Mytilus edulis: one gene and its partners. The protein of the gene in region 1 binds, or shares a complex with, the protein of each later gene. Links are inferred from orthologs where the notes say so. Each region holds a gene or a part of one and is shown on either strand. Other genes may lie near its edges.

The links.
Region 2: glycosylphosphatidylinositol anchor attachment 1 protein-like (region 1) and GPI transamidase component PIG-S-like share a complex: the UniProt entries of both Homo sapiens proteins name them as parts of the GPI-anchor transamidase complex. The link is inferred for Mytilus edulis from reciprocal best matches to the Homo sapiens genes GPAA1 and PIGS.
Region 3: the proteins of glycosylphosphatidylinositol anchor attachment 1 protein-like (region 1) and GPI transamidase component PIG-T-like are in contact, whole or in part, in a cryo-EM structure (PDB 7W72), measured with the Homo sapiens proteins. The link is inferred for Mytilus edulis from reciprocal best matches to the Homo sapiens genes GPAA1 and PIGT. Residues at the interface, in NP_003792.1 of Homo sapiens: Arg97, Ser98, Val99, Gly100, Glu102, Tyr104, Arg134, Ala135, Pro136, Arg137, Ala138, Ala139, Ser140, Thr141, Glu142, Arg171, Gly172, Gln173, Ile174, Tyr199, His200, Asp201, Val202, Leu212, Gln213, Gly214, Arg215, Ala218, Arg311, Tyr312; in NP_057021.2 of Homo sapiens: Gln91, Gly92, Phe93, Arg95, Arg97, Tyr98, Ser108, Phe211, His212, Thr213, Ser214, Asp247, Phe249, Ile250, Arg340, Gln355, Tyr357, Val358, Ser359, Gly360, Tyr361, Gly362, Leu363, Leu371, Tyr373, Lys441, Asp459, Pro460, Asn461, His462.

The regions. Positions count from the first base shown.
Region 1 is NC_092348.1:85,384,343-85,391,736, reverse strand, and holds the start of glycosylphosphatidylinositol anchor attachment 1 protein-like, read right to left. Parts: upstream 3,026-7,394; 5' UTR 2,948-3,025; intron 487-2,947; 5' UTR 483-486; coding exon 311-482; intron 1-310. Other genes in the region: cytochrome c1, heme protein, mitochondrial-like, read left to right, coding at 3,206-3,277, 6,432-6,473, 7,020-7,171. UniProt on the Homo sapiens protein: Component of the glycosylphosphatidylinositol-anchor (GPI-anchor) transamidase (GPI-T) complex that catalyzes the formation of the linkage between a proprotein and a GPI-anchor and participates in GPI anchored protein biosynthesis. Binds GPI-anchor.
Region 2 is NC_092347.1:87,617,985-87,624,837, reverse strand, and holds the start of GPI transamidase component PIG-S-like, read left to right. Parts: upstream 1-3,844; 5' UTR 3,845-3,911; coding exon 3,912-3,948; intron 3,949-6,853. Other genes in the region: stabilizer of axonemal microtubules 2-like, read right to left, coding at 443-512, 2,068-2,117. UniProt on the Homo sapiens protein: Component of the glycosylphosphatidylinositol-anchor (GPI-anchor) transamidase (GPI-T) complex that catalyzes the formation of the linkage between a proprotein and a GPI-anchor and participates in GPI anchored protein biosynthesis.
Region 3 is NC_092348.1:51,714,890-51,722,030, forward strand, and holds the start of GPI transamidase component PIG-T-like, read right to left. Parts: upstream 3,010-7,141; 5' UTR 2,978-3,009; coding exon 2,800-2,977; intron 1-2,799. UniProt on the Homo sapiens protein: Component of the glycosylphosphatidylinositol-anchor (GPI-anchor) transamidase (GPI-T) complex that catalyzes the formation of the linkage between a proprotein and a GPI-anchor and participates in GPI anchored protein biosynthesis.

The DNA of each region.
Region 1 (7,394 bases):
TGAAAATTTAATACTTTGAACACATTTAATAGCTCCATAGTTTTTACACATTTATTCTATGTTCCTCTACTTTCCTTCTCACCACAAACATTTTGACAAATGGTTAAGCTCAGTCATTTGTAAAAAAAAATAGAAACATGTCCAACATGTCCAATATCACTTCACAGAGATTTTTTGTTTACACATGACTTTTGAGTTCCTCATTTCGAGGTGCATTAGGGATGTTGTCCCAGATGAAGATACAAAAATCACAATAATAAATGCATGTAGTCAATTCTGAATTTGCAGTTTCAGTTGTAAAGATACATACCTGGCAATAAAGCATTTTCAGAAAAGTATGTACGAGCGTTGAGTGGTTGGTATGCTAACGCCAGAAACCATGTGACCCCAGCAATGTAACACAGAACAGATAAATGGTTATTATACTTAGAAATCACATCTAGTATTTTCTGCCTTTTCTTTGGATCTGACAGGAGTCCCATGTTCCTGCAAAAAACATTTTTTGAGAAAACTCTTGCATTGTTCATCTTTGAGAAGCTAATTTCAGGTAGCATTACATTCTAGCAATGTAACACCACATTATCATGATGTTAAAAGCCCCTGGGGAAATTAAGGCCCACTATCATCTCAGAAAGCTTCAACAAGATGGTGGTATAAAAACAATACTGGCACCAACAAGCAAAGAGACAGCACATAGATCCTTGTCTCATGAGTTTTCCATTGAAAAAGCATGCACACACAAGTGTAGTGGTTGAAGTTCTAACTATTATATTGTACTTCTGGTCGTGACACTTTCTTTGGTCCTGAGCCCGGTCGGGTCTTTCAGTGGGTACTCTAACAGCTGTGCGTAGTCCCGAGATAGCCCAGATTTAATTCGTCATACTGACGGCTGCTAGAAAACCCTTGGGAAACAATAATATTTATGGTAAGAACGTCTACCACTGAATTGTATTTAAAGTGTATGGACAATATTGATGTAATCAATTATAGTTTAAGGTTCATCATAACAAATGGACAAATATGGCCGTATTTTCACCCCAAAAACTACTCTGTGTACAGACTTACTTGTGCTGTTTGGAAAGTTCTAATGCCTATCATCCACTAGATATATAAAAGTTAAATGCATTTTGTGTTTAACATTGTTTAAGAAAGATAAAATCTTTCATAGTTTTTGATGTGCGGTGTAAAAATAAACAAACACCTGAATTACTTTGATGCTGTCCACTCACTGACTCAAATAAACTCTTTATTACCAATGTCATTTCAACTGATCGGGCGGAGCTTACGTTTTAATTTGCATAAGGACAGTCTATTTGAAGATGTGTGTGATTAGGATGATTGCCGTTATAATTATTACTGATTTCTAATCACCTATCAGTGCCATCAAAGGAATTAACAAAAGAATAACTGGACACTTCATTGATGAGTTTATCCTGAAACACCTATCTATAGATGAAATGATTTATTATGAGCGAAACGGTTAAACTCCGCCCAGTCAAGTGAAATAAATTGAGTAATAACTCACCTACACTTGTGAAGATAAATCTTGTCCATGTCAATTAAGGACAATCAAAACAATACAAACCGGTTTTTTACCTGAGGGAGCATCTCATAGTTGTACATTGTACCACAACTTAGTTAATTTTCACACCTTTTGCATGAAGGAAAAAAAATGCCCATCAAAATCCAAAAGAGATTTTATCTTTCTGAAACACAAAATGCATGTAACTTTATTATATCTAGTGGATGCCAGGCATTAAAACTTTTCCAACTTCACAGGTAAGTCTGTACTCAGAGTAATTTTTGACATGTAAATACAGCCATATTTGTCCGTTTGTTATGATGAACCTTAAATCATCAGACCTTCTAAAGAATAAATTATTGAATGACTAATACATGTAATATCTCAGAACGGACAGAAAGTCACAGGACAAAAAGTCACAAGACATAAAGTCACAAATTTGATAGGACAAAAAGTCACAAATAACTTCTTGACAATTGATTGAATATACGAGAGAAAGATCTTGAAATATTTTCTTTTTGTAACATATATTTATTTCTAAGTTTAGGCAATTGTTCATAAACCTTGATAAATGAAAATTTATTAAAATTAATCATACAAAGGACATATTTCTTGGCAGAATGAAGCCATTTAGGTAGTTAGCCACTGTGACATTTTGTTTTCATAACAATTATGATCATGATAAATTATTTATTGAACACATTTTGAATTACAAAGTTGCTTCATATATAAAATAGTTCAAGAAAAAAACAAAAAAATATTTTAAAAAATTAGTGTAGCCTTGTTCAAAGAAAAATAATCTCAAAACTGAATTGTGACTTTTTGTCCTGTGACTTTTTGTCCGTGACTTTTTGTCTGTGACTTTTTGTCCTGTGACTTTCTGTCTTACATTCATAGTTTTATATGCCAACTAAACATCACTTTCACTCCCGTTAGTCGTTACACAAGCACTTGTTTCTATCCATGGGAAGACCCACTATCAACTTATCGTAAATATATACGTTGATAGTGGGTCTTCCCATGGATAGAAACAAGTGTCTGTGCATGCACAGTACGAATTTGTATGAAGTACGAAAACTTATGATCTGACCATACACAGGTGACTTCAGCTGGACCCTAAACAAAAATGTGTACTAGTTGAAAATCAGAAAAGGTGAAAAATATAAATTGGTGGTGAAATTATCAAACAAATGCCAAAATTACTTTGAATCGGTGGTGATTTGACCAAGTGTCGATTAGTCTTTTTGATATAGGTGCCGAAATAACCAGATCCTGTGCCGATTTGACTCGAACCCCTGGGACACTAACTACGCCAGGGTTCAGGTTTTTATTTTAAAATGTGTATCCTGTTCTATTGTAAGAATGACGATAAAATAACAGTGTAAGAGCTGCCCTTTGAAAGAAATTAACAGTTTCACTGAGTACCTATTGATTTTGTGTGTTAGTTTTAGCCGGGTTCTCTTTTTTTCAGGTAAAAACAATCAAATGATCCAGATTTCGATTTAGATTCATTTACCACAAGTTTTGCAGACCATTAAAAAGATATTAAAAAAAAAAAAAATTACTTGTATTTTTGAAATTTAAATAGAAAATAAAAATATTCTACTTCAACCAAAAGTATTTTAATATATTCAAAAATGTCAACTTCCGTTTCGAGGGTCTTTAGACTAAGGTATAGAAAAGATGGCAGCGGTTGCTGGCAGGCTCTCGCGACAAGCTCTTTTAAAGACAAAATCATTGACAAATACACAACAGGTATTGAAATCACTTTGCAGTCGTAACCATTATATTCATATCTGTAACTTGTGACAATTATTTTCTTGTTTGAGCTTCAATTAAGGAGAAAACAGCAAATGTTTTTCAAGGTGAACTGATTGACAAGTTGTGTAACCCAAGTTGTGTAACATAAAATGTTACTTAATAAATTTTTTGGAAGTCTCAGAGAACAGTAATCATATATTTGATATAACAAGAAGTTTTCCTAACTAGATTTTAGCTTCAACAAGTAATAGGCTATTGGGAATGCTCCAAACCTCACACAAAAGGCTGTATTGTCATTCAGTCTGTTTAGGGTTCATCAAATTATACACCTTATCGCTATTTTGAAATCTGTCCCACTTGTAATTTTGAGGTCATACATCAACTGATCAATCACTTTACCATTGTGGCGTCAACTATATTCTATTATGACGTCAACATTTTATTGGAACTTTTGTGATGTCCTTCTTCTTCAATCTTTGTCGTGATGACAGAGTAATATAATCTCTCTTGTGAATTATCCTCTCTTGTAAAATTCTTAACACTAATGTAGTTTCTCCTTTGTACTTAGATATTGTAGGTGGCGCTTTAAAAATATTATAGAATTATATAAAAGTGAAAAAAAAGAAAAAAATGGTTAATTAGGTTATTGAAATGGCATGAAATATTAAAAAATATTAAAAATTAAAAGAAATTTGTATTAAATTATCCACTAAAACGGTTTGTTTCCTCTATGTACTCCGCTAATAGTTGATTGATACTTTCTGCATTTGGCAAATTGATTGTTAATAAATTGTCTAAATCTGTTGGAATTTGTCCTGTTATGAAGTATATTTGATGGAATAGTTTGTCTCTGGCATCTGAATACAGGTCACATTCAAAAAGGTAGTGTTGTACATTTTCTTTTTGTTTGCAGTGATCACAGGTTTCCGAGTTGATGTGCTGGTTTATTATAAATTGGTATGCATTTAATTTAGAATAACCTGTTCTTAAACTGTTGATTATGTTGTACATTCTTTTTGACGGGAAATCTTTTTTTACTTTATTTTTAACTTAAGGATGAAATCTGAAATAATGACGTCCAGCATTACTGTTTTCCCATCTGTGTTGCCATTTTTTTGTAACTGAATTTCTAGCTGCTTTTTTTACATCTTGTTTTGTAAATACTATGTCATCAACTGCTAGTGTTTCTGCTTCTTTAGCAGCTTCTTTTGCCAGGGAGTCCAGTAATGGCAGACAAATACTTGAAATAGTGATAAGGTGTATACACTTGGATTACAAACATCATTTCTGGAATCATGTCTTTCACCTAAAAAGATCTTCAATTTTCGCAGGCCTTTATTAACAGATTGAAGGGGCGTCTGTATTCCTGCTCTATTAAAAGTTTCCAGCACTTTCAAAATCTTCAATCTGTGTGGTAGTAAGGAAATAATCTCTGTTTTGTGAGAACGTAATCTTGATTCCTGTACGACCGAGGGAGCGTGACCATCTTATTAGATTTTAATTTCCCAAATATTTTGTGCAGTATAAAATCAAACTTTTTCACCTGTTTGCTGAACATATGTTGGAAATGAAGATGCATACATTTTTGTCCGGTGGTGATGAAAGTCACATGACAGATTTGTCTGAAAACCGTATCCCCGAACTGGCCTATTGGCTGTGTTCACATACACAATGAAATTTTCATTGCCAAGAAGATGGTAAAATAAACAAACACAAGAGTTTAATTAAAACAGTCCACTCATTTACACTTTTCAAATCACCTTTGTTGTGTTGATTTCTAGTGTCCCTCTTTAATCCATATCAATCAATATGTTACAATATAATCATTACCTGAAGGGGACTATCTCAAAGATTTTTTGTACCTGTAGGAAATGTCGTTTTGTTGATTTTCTTACATTTATTCGGGACATTTTGCTTTGATTGTTATTTGCTTAATATCTGGTGGCAAATATTCCATGCGCGTAAGCGAGATTAATTATATCCCACACAACAAAGTTCTGGAGGGTATAATGTTTGTGATCCGTCCATTAGTCTTGTTTTTTGTCATTGCAACTCCTCTTAAGGTGGCTCGGGACTATTCGACTGCGCATAATTTCACGCATGAATTACAAATGTATTTGTCGTTAATTTGATATAATTTTTTTAAATATTTTGATTGATTAGAAATGTTAAATCATTGTAGTCATGTGAATAATAGAATATTTTCGTTATAATCCGTATTTGTTAAAGGGTCAAAATGACATTTCACCCATTTTCACCATTTTCCCGCCAAAATTTGGGTTTTAAGGCAAAATATATTTTTTTCCTTATCGGTGACCTATCTTTTTTATTTGCTCATTCTTTTAAGCTATATTTTAGCTTTTTATATTACAGTTTTGGACCATGTGTCATAGAACGTTTTTTTAATAATCCGATAAAAATATGTCAACACCTCTATTTTCCCTATCATTTCATTGAAAAATGGTCCCTTTTACATACCTGTTTAAAAGTTAAATTTTGAGCTTAAATGGTCCGTGACCCCCTATTTTTTTTCTACCAATTTGATTCAATTTCTGTAAAGAATAAAATAACAAAAAATACGATACTTTTAATAGGCCCCGAGCCACCTTAAACCACACAACAGAATTTCACGAAACCTTTTTTAGATAATAAGGACATAATATGTAGATGTGCATATCGACAGGAAATTACGATTGAATAATTTTTTTCTAGGAGTTACGCGCCTTTGAACTTATTTGCTTTAATGTACTACTGCAACAGTTTGTCATCGCAACTCCTGAAACCACACAACAGAATTTCATGAAACTTTGTAGATAATAAGGACATACTATGTAGATGTGCTTTGTAGATAATAAAGACATAGACTAAGTAGATGTGCATATTGACAGGAAATTATGATTAAATTTTTTTTCTTATTCAACTTTCTTTTCTTACACTTATTTAATTTCTTCAATGACAATGTGGGGACGTGGGGTATGTGAGTGCGCTTATTAAGGTTCTTTTATTGCAAATGTTGTATACTTGTGTAAAGATATATATACAAATTCAATTTTGTATTAATTATTGTCAATATTCATTTAGTACCTTATACCTTATGTACCTATATGTATACAATAACTATTATAATAAAATGTTCCTTTTTTCTCAGGCAAGCTTCAGTTTCAAATCAGCATCAAGAGGGAAGAAAGCTGTAAGTTATATTAACTGTATTCCATATTACATTTTTATGCCCCATCTACAATTTATTAGTCTGTCTGTCCCACTTCAGGTTTAAGTTTTTGGTCAAGGTAGTTTTTGATGAAGTTGAAGTCCAATCAACATGAAACTTAGTACACATGTTCCCTCTGCTATGATCTTTCTAATTTAAATGCCAAATTAGATTTTTGACCCCAATTTCACAGTTCACTGAACATAGAAAATCATAGTGTGAGTGGGGCATCCGTGTAGTATGGACACATTCTTGAAATTATTTATTTGAGTGGTAAAATTGGTTCTATAAACTCACACTTAATGTCAACACTATATTTCAACAATAACAACTGGCAATGTTAATACTTTTTGACACAAATTTTAAAAGTTCAATAAACAAAGGTAGGAATGAAATATATAGAGACACGCATGATAAATGAGCAATATTGTGACAAACAACTTTAAATTTTTTATTTTGAAAACTGATTGTTTCTGAACCTGTACTGTACAGTACGGGATATTATTGTATTGATGTCTTTTTTCACAGGCTTATGGATTACTTGGAGCAGCTACTGTTGGTAGTATAGGAGCAGTGGGAGCAGCCTTGGCCTTCCCTGTATTAGCCAGTGAATTAGAGTTACATCCCCCCCATTATAAATGGAGTCATCATGGAATGTTCAGTTCTATTGACATGAAAAGGTATGGCTAAAAAATGTTTTTTTCTTATATATTTGTGAGACTTTTTTACAAAATACTCAAACAGTTGCCTGAGTTGGCTTCTTGAACAACACATAAGAGTTATTGATGTTAAATGATGATTGTTTAAAAAATATGGATGTTTTTGTTTTGCCTGAGATGGAAACTTATCCTTTTCCAACTGCTTATGTTTTTTATATGACTTCATATTTCACAATATATAGAG
Region 2 (6,853 bases), on another chromosome or scaffold:
GTACAAACATTTTTTGTATTACTAGTAAGCCGTTAAAGGTCTATATAAAAAATATGAAATACACAAATTCAAATGGTATACGTCTGTTTCTGTTTAAAAGTTATTTTTTTCGGAAATGTATTGAAAGATAAACTGACATCTCTCTCAATTCAGTCATGAAGATACAATTTACTTAGCATATTTTGCGAGTATATAATTTTATCAATATTGACTTTGTTTTAAAATTTCAAGGAAAAAAACAGTGGAAGATATCGTCTGTATCATTAACTTGACTTTTATTACATGTAAAGACGTTTATTTATCAATGTTGGCTTTTGTTTTCGTTATATTTCTTCATTTGCTTTCAGAAATGTACTCCGTGTTGCGTTGAGGTGCATTGTCACCTGATTGCTATACAAACCTGTGTATATTAGTATATGACCATAAAGTAAATCAAACCTACCGCCTGGTATTCGGATACACTGTCAATTTTCTTCGACTTATAGTTCTTTGCTTCAAAATGAGGAATGCCCCTAAAAAAAGACATTTATTTAAAGTCAGTTTAATTCATGAAATAATGAACGTGCATGCTTTTGTTATCGTATCATGGCACAATGCATGTTGTTTTTTTAAAACACCGAATCTGAATCTGTCTCTTACCTAGGTTTTAATTTGTAAAGTTATATTTATTGGTGCAAATCCCAGTCATAGCGTACCACTCATTAGAACTATTGATTGATTGATTGTTTGATCTCCAGTTGCATCCTAGTATAAAGTTTAAACAGTGCACCATTTTTTAGGGTTCGCTGGCACAATATCCTTGCCCTTACCTGGTGTTACAGTACAACAAAAAATGAACTGACGAAATCAGTTGAAACGGGAACTTCGTGTCCGTATATACTCCATTGGTGTAAAAAGGGAAGAGACGTATGATTGTCAAGAGAATCAGATAACATCGTAAGGAGGCCCAAATAAACACGGCAGTGCTGAAGGAAACAACTTGAGGGGGATCTTATTTTTTTGTCTTAATTCTTTGACTGTTTAGACTTTCTTATGTGAAACTGAAATTTAGAATATGAATGTCAGTTATTGCTTTATATATATATAGTAGATTAGAGTAAAATCAGTTCTAAAGGGTAAACTTCTTTTGCCGTATGACTAAACAGTTCTTCATTATTTTAAGCAAAAACATCATCAAGGTAACGGTAATTATATTTAATTTCCAATTAATTGGTTTCAGACGAATATTTTCTACACTGTGTAAGTGTGGCCATAAACTGTGGATCATTACAATACAGGAACAAGTCGCCATTTAAGAGGGCGCAATTAGTGCCCATATGAAAACCTTCTACCCTTTAGATAAGCATACTGCCGAAACTTACATAGTTTTTGTCAATAATATAATTGATAGCTTTTATCATCTCATTACTGCTCCATTAACAATATTGGCTTTCTTTTACTTTAAGGGTCCCTATACTTTAGAGGTAGGGTTCATTCATGGTAATGGTTAGGTTAGGGGCTGTTTTAGGTTAGGGTTAGTATTTAGTGTTAGGGCTAGTGTTATGGTTAGGTATGGGTAAGGGTAAGATTGGGGTTTAGGATAGTTAAGTATAGCTCTATAAGAGTTGGGACCCCTAAAATAAAAGAAGGCCACAATATTTGTCACATTTACCTCTTTTTTATTAGTACATGTAAAATGATATATGACCCCTTTTTGTTGATTACTGTATTTGTCAACGTAAATGACATAATTACAAAATACTAAGCAAACTCATTTATGCTTTTAATGATATTGATACAATTTATTTCACAATTTGCCATAAGTAGCTTTTCACTGCAGCAAAAGCGTTCCAGATTGTATTCCAGACAAAAGGGGCTATAGGCGATATCCTCAACTTGGGATGCTTGGATAGATTTGAATTAACGACCAGTTAAAATTCATTTAATAGATTAGTATTTCAACAAATACTGTATGTACCAATTTACAAATGATATCTGCACTGAAGCACATACTGTTGTCTCTCTTTCCCCCTCACTCTCATAATCTCTCTGGAAATTAATCGACTAAGTTTTTTATATTTTTTTTACCTTGGATTCTTCACTGGATCAACCACGACGATAATTTTAGAGCTGGACATTCCTTAGCGGTACGCGAAAAACGGACGTTGATTTTTTTCTCCTCCCTCACCCGCATCCACTTCAACTCCCTTCGTTACCGGCTCAACAATGTGACGTTAACGTCTTTGTGATGACCAAGTGTATAGCAACGGTCAAGGAGATCAATGGTGACGTCACCCATAGCGTAGAATAGTTTGGTTATTCTTTATTTATTTCTAAATCTGTATTAGTTGCATTAAACGTACTGATTATCAAGTTTTCTTTGGTTTTGTTTAAAAATATTTTATATTTCTCCCAAAAAAAAATGGGAACGATTGTTGTAAAAATTATAACTGAAACGGCAACTGTTTTAAAAAAAAATATATACGTTTTACTTATATATGAGTTATCAATACACGCGTATAACTGCATCCAGCACTATAATGTTATATATACTACATGTGCTTTCTGGGAAAGACACATGCAGTCTTTTAGAACCTGAAAACTCTGTTGACCATCGAAGGGCGAACTGTCAAAAGAACACTAGAAAGTAATTACTGAACCGTTTATATATGGATTTCCGAAGCTTGTCTTTTTGTTAGATTTTTTCGTTTCGTTGTTACTTTCACATAGACGCGTACCCAACATCCCTTTTATTCAAATGAAAAATGCAGTTTATAGATAAAATCAGTTGTTTTATGCATTCTTAACATGCACTCTAAATTGGAATTTGTAGTTTCAAATTGGTTTCGTTTATCAATAATTTTGCATAAAGGTTGTCCTAAGCAGTTATAATATCAAGGAAGTCTATAAAAGATATCGGTCGATCACTACTAATGAATGTATGGTTTATTTGATTTGAAACAAACATGTTTGAGTTTTGGATATAGTGTATTGTTTGTAGCGGAGAAATTTGTCTTAGTATTTACTGACTTTACTGGTGTGCACGGTAAAAAACATCGATGTAGTGCTATTTCGTTTCGGCAAAAGTTTAAATCTTGCCCATTACAGTACCCGTATAACTTTCCCCGCACTTTCTCCCATGTCGAACTATACTTTGTATCGTTTCAGTGTTGATTTGTTTTTGTCTTTAATATGCATGGATATTTTGCCACTGAACTTTAAACTGAATTTCTAAAAGAAATCATGAGGTTTATACAATGAATTTTACGAATTAATGTTTGTTGAAAAAACCCCATAAAAGTACTAGGTCCGTCCGACATTTCTAAACAGTGTAATGTCAATATTTTTCAGTATAATAATTCAGATATGGATAGAAACTGCACATTGCTAGTAAATAAAGAAATAGTTATGCCAATCACGGTTAAAAACGATAAACTTGATAATAATTTGGTACAAATAGATAGGAAAATGACAAAAAAAGATTTTAAAAACAATGATAATAAAAATTTTAATCTGCTAACCGAGTCCATGTGACACAGGCACTTGTATCAACAACAATAAAATAATATATATATACCTTTATATAACACGGTATATATGTGGGCAGGAAAATTCTGAAACAAGTCGGGAGTGTAGTCTCAGCTGTGCCCTGTTACTTAGATTGAACTCATCGTGTCAAATTATCAGAATATGGGGATTTTTTTTCTTTAAAACGGTGACTTTTAAATTATCTATTGATTCAATATTAAAATTAAATCATTTTCATTTAAATTCGCGCAGTCTGTCAGAATTCACTCACTAAAAGGACGTTATCGGTTATCGGTTATCGGTTATCGGTGATCTTCTTACGGTATTCAGATAGATCGCTTTCCACTGGTTTCTGGTTTCCAATCGATAAGGAACCAGACACGGCATTATCCGGCAACATAAAAATGAAAAAGTCGGAGGAAAAACAAAAACCAGTCACACGTAAATGAGGAAATTATTAAAACATAATTATTGTGTCCATATCTGAATATGTAGATGCTTGTCATTGTATGCACAAGTCTTCATAAGTTAATTTGTAACAGTCATTCCAAAAACTGATCACTATAAAGTGTTGACCGATGGCCTAAGGCTAAGTATAGTAAGCCACCTCTGTTCACTACTAAATCAAGAACAACAGTACTGTGCCAAATAATTTGACCATTCATTCAGGGTGTTTGTATATCTCCCAGTACAAGGAAAGCATCAATATCCCAAATTACTTTCGAAATCATGAAAATACATGCATCATAAAACATTTTATACTATAGGCTAATGATATGGTATCACACAACACAATTTCAGCTTTACCTCAACTGACTGCATAACACTCATTATCCGAATAACACATGTAATGACCGAATAACACTTGAAATTTTAATATTAGCACATATTTGTAACTTTTAAACATTGATTATTAAATAATAATACATTATCGATGTATTTTATAACTTACAAATGATTTGCAGAAAGCAGATAAGTTCATTAAAAACTTTTTAAATTTAGTGTGTACATCGAACGATGGCGGCCACAGAAATCACAATGGCCGCCATGTACGATGTACACACTAAATTTAAAATGATCTTTATGAACTCTTTTTGCTTTCTTTAAATCATTTTTAAGTTATAAAATATATCGATGATATATTATTATTTAATAATCAATGTTTAAAAGTCACAAATATGTGCTATTATAATTTCAAGTGTTATTCGGTCATTATAAGTGTTATTCGGATAATAACAGTGTTATTTAGTCATTCATGATGCGGGATTGCCGATTTTTTGTAAGCGTGACACGTGAAAGTCAAAATATTGTGCCGTGAAAACAGGAAATGAAGTCTAGCGGGACACGGGAAATTACAAAAAAATGATAGTTGCTTACAATAGTGTAAACGGGATACGGGAATCTGACAAAACAGTAAGCGGGATCCGGGATCAGAACCCCCAATGAGACCCCCTTCATATACTAGATATTCCTCCATAATGACGCTTTTTGACGCCACCCCCTTTGCTCCATAATGACGCCTTTTAACGCCTGTGTAGTACCTCAGTTGAAACGCTTTTGACTACAAAATGTCTGCATCAGACTTAAAAAAATTAGCATCCAATATGAAAAGGATATTCATAAGAATATCTGATTTGAATTTCATTGATGAAATATTCATTTTCACAATGCATTAATACTTTAAACCTGATGATTTTTTTTTTATTAAAAAAATCCTATGCAAATCAAGTATGTAAGAAAATAAATTCCACAGAGGAAAGGGTTAACAAATAATGTGTTGTTACTGTTTCAAAAAGTTATTTTTTGAGTTACTTAGGATCAAGTTTTCTTTTATAGCACAATATTATAGGAAATTAGAAAAGAGAAAGTCAGAAAAAAACTACAGCACTGGCTTGCTCTACCTACTCATATTTATGGAAAAGGCCTTATGGAAGAGCCCTATTTCAAGACAATTTTCCCTCAAATATGTTTTCATTTTCAATATTTTCGTGAAATTACAAGTGTTTTTGATGTTTAAATATTCGTATGTAATTAATAGAGGGGGGGGGGGGGGGGTCAAATTTCTCAAATGTGTTTACTTGGGGATCAAATGAAAATAGTGAAATATTATAGCACTGGCTTGCTCTACCTACTCATATTTATGGAAAAGGCCTTATGGAAGAGCCCTATTTCAAGACAATTTTCCCTCAAATATGTTTTCATTTTCAATATTTTCGTGAAATTACAAGTGTTTTTGATGTTTAAATATTCGTATGTAAATAGAGGGGGGGGGGGGGGGTCAAATTTCTCAAATGTGTTTACTTGGGGATCAAATGAAAATAGTGAAATATTATGTATTATGGGGGGGATCAAGAAATTTTATATGTTTGATTTCAAAAAGTCCCTTAATTAAATGATGTTTATTCATGATACATACATAATCATTAAGACTAAAGAGTTTAATTAAATGATGATTATTCTTTTTGAAATGCATATTTTATATACAAATTATAATATCTATGCAACTATTCTTTAAATTTTCAAAAGAAATTTATTTTTAAAAACGAGGTGCCGGATTGTCTTGGTGTGCCGAAATGTCTTCGGACTTGGGTGCTGATAAGTCTTGTTATCAATATTTTTCCTCTTAAATCGATTGAAATCCCTGAACTAAGTGTTTACTGAGTGACAACCAATCTTGAAGTGAAAATTGCAGGTATGTAATTTAACAGGTAAATGAAAGTGAGAAGATTTCAACTGATGTTTCAATCATAAAACGTATAACAGAACTTTGGTAAACAATTTTGAAACAGTGAAGTAGAATAAATCTTGCAAGAAAGTAAAATCCTTTCTCAGTAATTAATCATTTTTATTAGAATAAAAATTTCCAAATTTCTCTCTCGCACACAACTCATGAGTTAGAGTCAGACTAAGACTAAGAGTAATTAGATAATAGACCTTCTTGCTATTTCAGTATTTAGGAATGCATGTAGTTCAGTGGCAGATCCAGAAATTTTTATAAGTGACTGCCTGAGACGGGCCTACTCTGGTCTTGCTTCAGAGATTCCAAATATAATCAACCAAATTTTTCCCAGAAAACAATCTACTCAAACTCAATCCCCCTTTGTAGTTACAGTTTTGTGTTATTTAATTTTGATCTCTGAAATACATAACATGTAATCTTTACAGAAGTTTACACCATAGCCTTGTAAATCATCTTGAAAAATTTCCTTATCTGTTCAGTATGTATTTTTTACTAAAAGAATTATCTCCCCTTAAATGGCTTATTTGAAAAAATGATTTTAAGAACACAAAATTTGATATTTGTTTAAATGTTTTGAGTTAAACAAAATAAATCCACAAGTTTTCC
Region 3 (7,141 bases), about 34 Mb from region 1:
GCCAAAATGAAGTCACATTCTTTTAACTGAAATCCATATATCTGACTGTTTAAAACAATCAAACTATCATTAAAACTCAATTTTGACATAGTTGAATGTGTTCTCTTGAAAAAATAACATACATTTTACCTATCAAATTAGGCTGAACTCAAGGAAATTGGATACAAATATATTGTGGTAATGTCTACGGACAAGACAATTTCAGTTAAAAAAAAAATCTGTTAGAATTAATTGTGACTATATTTATGTTGAAAATACTGAGTTTTAATTTGAATAGATGACTTTCATAACCTATAAATAAGATTTAAGTTCCATAGCAGACAAATAATGGAATTTAATACTTGTTATGTACAAGTGTCTTGTCCGTAGACACTTCCTCATCTGCTGTTAATACTGAAATGCAAAAGATAAAGTTAGAGAGAGAGAAATACTTTTTCTTCATTTGATTTAGTTAATCTTTTAAGGTATGCAGCAACTGGAATAAACAATATTGAAGTAAAATAAGATATGCTTTTTATGACTGATAATCTGACCCTTTTTAAAATTCACTCCTGTAAAGTAATTTTACAAAAATTGAGAACATGTTAGTAGTGTTTTCATATCTACAAAAGAACAGGAACATAGCAATGCAACATTAATGTAATTATGCTTCAAGTTTACTAGGGAATGCATGTCTACGGACAAGACATTTTTTCACTTTATTTGTATATATCCAACTTTGATGGCATATATCTCCAGCTAGGGTACTGCAATTTTGATAAATGAGGTAGTTTTTGATAATGTATATACTAGAAGAGAAAACAAAACACATAATAGCATAAATTTGATTTATTTTTCTCTTTTATCACTACACTGAGCAAGCTAAAAACAAAAGTACAAAATTTCATAACGAGCGCATAGTATTCAACTTTTTATCATAACTTTGTAACCACTGAAGATTTTTTGTTGCAACAAACAGTAAAAGAAAGATGAATAAATTGTCTATAGCAATGATCCAATAATGTAGTTTAAATTAAGTTCACTTATTAACTATCAATTGATAAAAACAGCGAAATTTTGAATGAAACAACATAACGTGAAATTTTGCCCATTTTCAGCGTGTATTTTAGTGGGTTTTTTTCAAAACGGTAACACCTATACATGATATTTGATATTCATTGTGAAGCCCTACATTCTCTTCTTCAGTTTAAAGATGTATTACTTATGTAAAGTTTATCTTCTTGTCTTTACAAGCCTATAACATAGACCCAATATGAAATGCACATCTGATCTTGGCTAGGCCGATTGACAGTCATTTCTAGAAAATTCAATTTCATTCTCTTCTCTGTTAATTTTATATGTAGGCAGAATACAAGATTTGCACATTTAAAGATACCTTTTAATTACCAAGTAGTTGTTTCAATAATCCAAACTTTGAAAAATGCATTTTATTGCAGTGTTTAAGTGAATAGTTAATTTTAATTGTTATACATTCATATTGCTAAATAAACACCCTACAGGGTCATGCCATTAACACTTAAAATATTGAAAGGACTGATTATTGTTACATAAACAAATCTGTGTTCTAATCTGAATAATTACTTATTAATTAGTGACAGTACATATACATTTGTACATTATTTAAATGTGATGTTTCTTTATTACATGTAATTGTTAATTCTTAGTAGGAGCTATATTCATTTGAAAAAAAAAAAGATTTATTTGCTTTCTATTTACAGTTTGCAGATCTAGACAAATGCTATACAAACAAAATAGGGTATAAATATCTTATTAAATGAATTGCATTTGTGTTTATTACTGAATCCTCTTTAAAATTCAGACACATATTTTATATTACCCAGTATTGCCCAGTATTACCCACTAAAACCCAGTAAAACCCGGGTTTTCCCAGTATTTCCCACTGGGCTGGGCAATACTAATTAAACCCGGGTTTTTGCCAACCCTGAGTCCCGGTGGAGACAAGCAATTTTGTAATGAAATTCATGCTCTCCGGTTACATTGGCGCCCAACAATAATAACCCATGGTTAGAAGAATTACCTAGCCAGGTTAAAATATAAATATAAAAAAAGATGAAGATATCATCATTATAGAGTATAATGACTCTTGAGGTGGGGGAAGTGTGACGGGATTGCTTCCCTTAGAAAAACTTAGTAGATACTTAGTCAGCCGTAAGCAGTTGAGCTAAGGAAGTACTTCTTTAGCTCAGTCGGTTAGCGCGCTGGCTTGTAACACAGAGGTACCGATGGAGACGAGCAATTTTGTAATGAAATTCATACTCTCCGGTTACAAGTGCATTGCTATGATTTTTGGTTTCATTGTTTCAGATCAAACGGGCCTATAAGCTGTTTTTAATAAAAATCTTTTGTGTTTTTCATTTAAAATCTTCAATGTTTTTACTCATACCAAGCTTAATATGCAGTATTTACATCAAATCAATTAAAAACAACAATCTTGATTTTCTAATTATTTAACTGGAATTTTATTTAAAATTTGGTGCGAACGGACCTTGAGTGCGAACGTGTAGGGTGCGAAAGTGTATTGGGCGCGAACGAACCTTATACCAGTATTATTCAAATACACTTATCATTGGCATTGCTTATATTTATAATATTATTTAATAATTAATGTTTAAAAGTCACCAATATGTGCTAATATTAAAATTTCTAGTGTTATTCAGTCATTACAAGTGTTTTTCGGATAATAACTATGCTATTGGGTCATTCGAGCTGGACTATTATACTATATAGTTATCGAGAATAATTTTTGAGGTATCGCATTTAACACGGATATATACTCACATGGCTTTCTCGAGTTCCAGAGTGTTGTAAACTGGAAAAAAAATAATTCGTGGCCACTTTTAAATGGTTTGACAATGAGCTCTTCTTTAAATGTGTCATTTTCTCTAAACGTTATGCTCTCACAACTTAAAAGAGTGAGAAAAGAAAACCACAAATAGCATCTTTCAAAGGTAGCCATTTTTAATGGGACACACTAAAGACCTGAAAGTGGACCTGAAAAGACCCGAATAGACCTGAAAGATATACCACATCATGGCACATGATTTGTTCAAAAATTATACACTTACTTCGTTATTTTTGAATGGATTTTCTTCAAGTTTAAATTTTATCAAATGAAAAGATCTACATTTTATAATCTTTTAAATAAAAAACAGATTTTTCATGCCAAAACTTGGACCTGAACGGAGAAATGAAAAGACCTAAAAACCTTTGATCGGACTTATTCAAACTTCAATTACTGTTTAAGTATTCAATGGATTTCCTTGAAATTAGAATTTTATTAAAGGTAAAGAACCACACTTTATCAACATTAAATGTTTCAAATATAAAACAAACGATACTGATATGCTTCATATCCGATGCAGGACGTAACGGCCATACTGCCATGACGTCCATAGGATGAAACGTATCGTATGATTCATCGTATCGTCCATGGTTTTTTTTTTTGGTTTTTTTTTAGATGTTATATATGAATTATTTTGGTACTTATAGATGGTTATTATAACTTTTTTTAATAACCTATACTGTTTTAACATTATTTATCATGTTTTTAAAATTTCGTTATATCATTTGTTTATGCATTAGGGAGCTACCATTTGATTTTTATGGGGGGGGGGGGGGGGGGGGGGCTAGGATGAAAAATTTTGTCCTGCATTTTTTTTTAGTTGTAATCTCTGTCCTGCCTTTTTATTTTTCACTCTATTCGGTCCTGCCTTTTTTTTTATTAGTTTATCCTGACTTTTTTTTACCTACATTGTCATCCTGCCTTTTTTTTTGGCAAAGTGTCTCATCCTGCCTTTTTTTTTACTCAAAACTGCTGTCCTGCCTATTTTTTTCAAATTTCATCCTAGCCCCCCCATAAAAATCAAATGGTAGCTCCCTTATACAGAATTGTGTTTAATCTAATAAAATATTAAAATATCATATTGTTTTCTAAATGATTTTTTTATATCTTCCGTATAACAAACAGAACAAAATGAACAAATATGAATGACTGTATCTGAATGGGAGACTAATTTCTGTCAAAATTATAACTATAAGATTAGTAAATAAATAATAATAATAATAATTTATTTTATTAAAGTGTCACATACTTGTCTACAGATTTTTTATACAGATTATATAATATACATTGCACAATAATAAAATAAGACAAATACCCAGCCTAGAAAGGCTTATGAGACACTATATATACAAATATATATCTATTTAACAAATACAAATTGAAAAAACATAATAAAATGTTTAAAATTATCCGGATATTTCACATCATAAAAAAACAAAAAAATTAAAATAAGTAATTAAAAAAAAAACCAAAAAAAAACCATATCTTTTAAAAATAGAAATGACAAAAATAAGTATGACGTAAAAAAATAAATGGTATGTGATAAAAAGAATATATTTTAAAGAGGTTATATAAACAGATTGCGAAGAATAAAATGAAGTTATCTTGTTGTTTTAATAAAAAAAAACTCTCAGTAAAATAGTAAATAAATAGAACAAAAACAAAAAAACAAAATTTAAAAAATTAAATGTAACTTTGACTTTAACGGAAATATACAATAGTGAATTAAAAAAATAAATAAATTAAATATATTAACTTTGACTTTTACGGAAATACAATTAAGAGTGTAGATTGCTTTTCAATGCACGACGTCTTCTTATCATATTATGCACCAAGATAGATAACTCGTATTGTAATTCAGCATTCTGAATTAAAAATACAAATTGATTAAAATCTGACTTTGTACAAAAAGAATTATCCATGACCATAGCTGCTCTGTGAAACAAATTAAACCTTAAGTCACTGTAAATGTCACAAATAATCCAAAAGTGTATCTCATCTTCTACAGCATTGTTACAAAATGGACAATTTTTTTCTTCTAACGGTATTGGTGGTTTCGTATAACGGCCCGTCTCGACGGACAGAGGTAAAGTTCCACATCTAAGTTTACATAGATTACTTCGTAAGTGGCGTGGCATTGCGTTAGTAACATAGTGTTCAGGTTGAAGGTCTTTCTTATAACGTCTATATAGTCTCAACTTGTTTCCATTCACATTCGAATTGTCATTCCAAAGTTTGGTAAACCCCAACTGTTCATCTAGTATTCGTAATTTACTTTTAATTACTTTAAAAAATAGTTCTTTGCTAATTCCGGGCTGCATTAAGTGTTCTACAGACATATTGCGAAATAAGTTAATCACATTAAAGTTCCAGGATCTACGTTTTCGTTTCGACCATAAATGTATCTTATAGAAAGTACGAGAATTATCTGAATTTTCAAGTTTATAAAAGAATCTCAAAACTTCCAGTCTTTGTTTAGCATGACATGACAGCCATCCTAAATCACCCTGTACTGTAGTATTGCTAGTCAATTTAGTCACTCCAAGGAATATTTTACTTACTCTGTTTTGAACGTTATTAATAAGTCTATGTTCAGTAAGTCCCCATATCGATGCACCATATAACAATATTGGTTGTACCAAACTTTTATACAGTTTTGTGAACACTTGATATGTCATACCACCATAGGCGTAAAATTTCACAGTCAAACAGCTCAAAGCTCGGCTGGCAGATTTAGAGAGTTCTTTGACGGCTTTAATCCATGTTACATGTTCACTGAACCAAATACCTAAATATTTGTATGAATCTACATACACTAAACTATGACTTCCACAGAAAAAATTGAAAGTAGAACGTTCAACAGAGCTAGGCCTAAAATGTATGACATTTGATTTACTACAATTATTACTTAATCTCCATTTATGGCACCATGCATTAACACAATCAAGCATACATTGTAAACTAGCCTCACTTGGACCTAGTAAGACGATATCGTCTGCATATAATAAGATGCTTACGTTTAGTTGATTAGTTTTGAAATATAAAACAAGGTAATCAAGTAATGATTAAGTTTTAAATTTAAGAAGATTGCCAATTGCTTAGTATTACTTCTTTGATGAACACAAGTATTAATTATGCTTTTGTCAAGAAATTCAGAAGGAAATACAAATCGAGATCACTATTAAAACACAGCACCCAAGCTGAGTTCAAGCGGAGTACAAACATACATTGGGTAGTGAAATTCTTGTAGCTGATAGAAGCTGTTTGGAGTCTATTTGATGTACCGGCCTTGATTTATAAAAGTAACACAGCTTTGCAATACAGGTATTTACAAATTTATTAGTTATGTAGTGTTTCATTTGAATCATAGTTCGTACTTTCGGTCATATTTTAGATATTTTTTTTACTTTAATTTTGGTTTTAACCCTTCCCTGAAAAGACTTAATTCAATATTAAATGATATTTGCATTAAATTTTAAATTTGTCCAATAAATGGACCAAAAAGGATATTAATTAAATTATATAAAAAAAGAAGATGTGGTATGATTGCGGTATGAATCCGATGATGAGACAACTCTCCATCAGAGACGGAATGATGTCACCTATTGTTTATTATGCATATTGTTTGTAATATGCCAAATGTAAACACTGTACATGTACTTGATTATTCTGAGGAGCCATAAGGCTCAAAGTTAATAAAGAATTTGAATTTGAATTTGATTACCTATTGAAAAAAAAACATCATAAATCATATTAATCCAATCATTGTTGGGGCGCGTGCCCTCTGTTTAATGCAAAGTATACAAATTTCGGAGGTGTTAATCCTTTAATTAGTTTACGTGATTGCCAATTATCAAACAATGTTACAAATATTAATGTGAATTTATTTATTTTGAATTATATATATATTTGACGTCTTTTAGTTGTTTCACTACTTTTATACATATGTTTTTCGTTCAGGTTCCAGCAGTAAATAATAGAAGCACCACCAGCACCAGCATCCCCACAACCACTTGACGTTACGTTACCAGACCATTCATTTGATATTACACTAACTTTATTGAGTTCATGAATTAGAGTGAGTGTGAATATAGATGTTGAATATTTGGTGAAATGTGTATGCAGTGGAATAAATGAATGGAGTGACATGAGTATATGAGAGAAAAATGAGATGGTTAATTGAAAAAATGTATGCAAGATGAATTTTCATATGTATATTTAAATATGTATTTTATTACATTTCAATGCTTGTATGGTTTATATGTTTGTTGTACATGT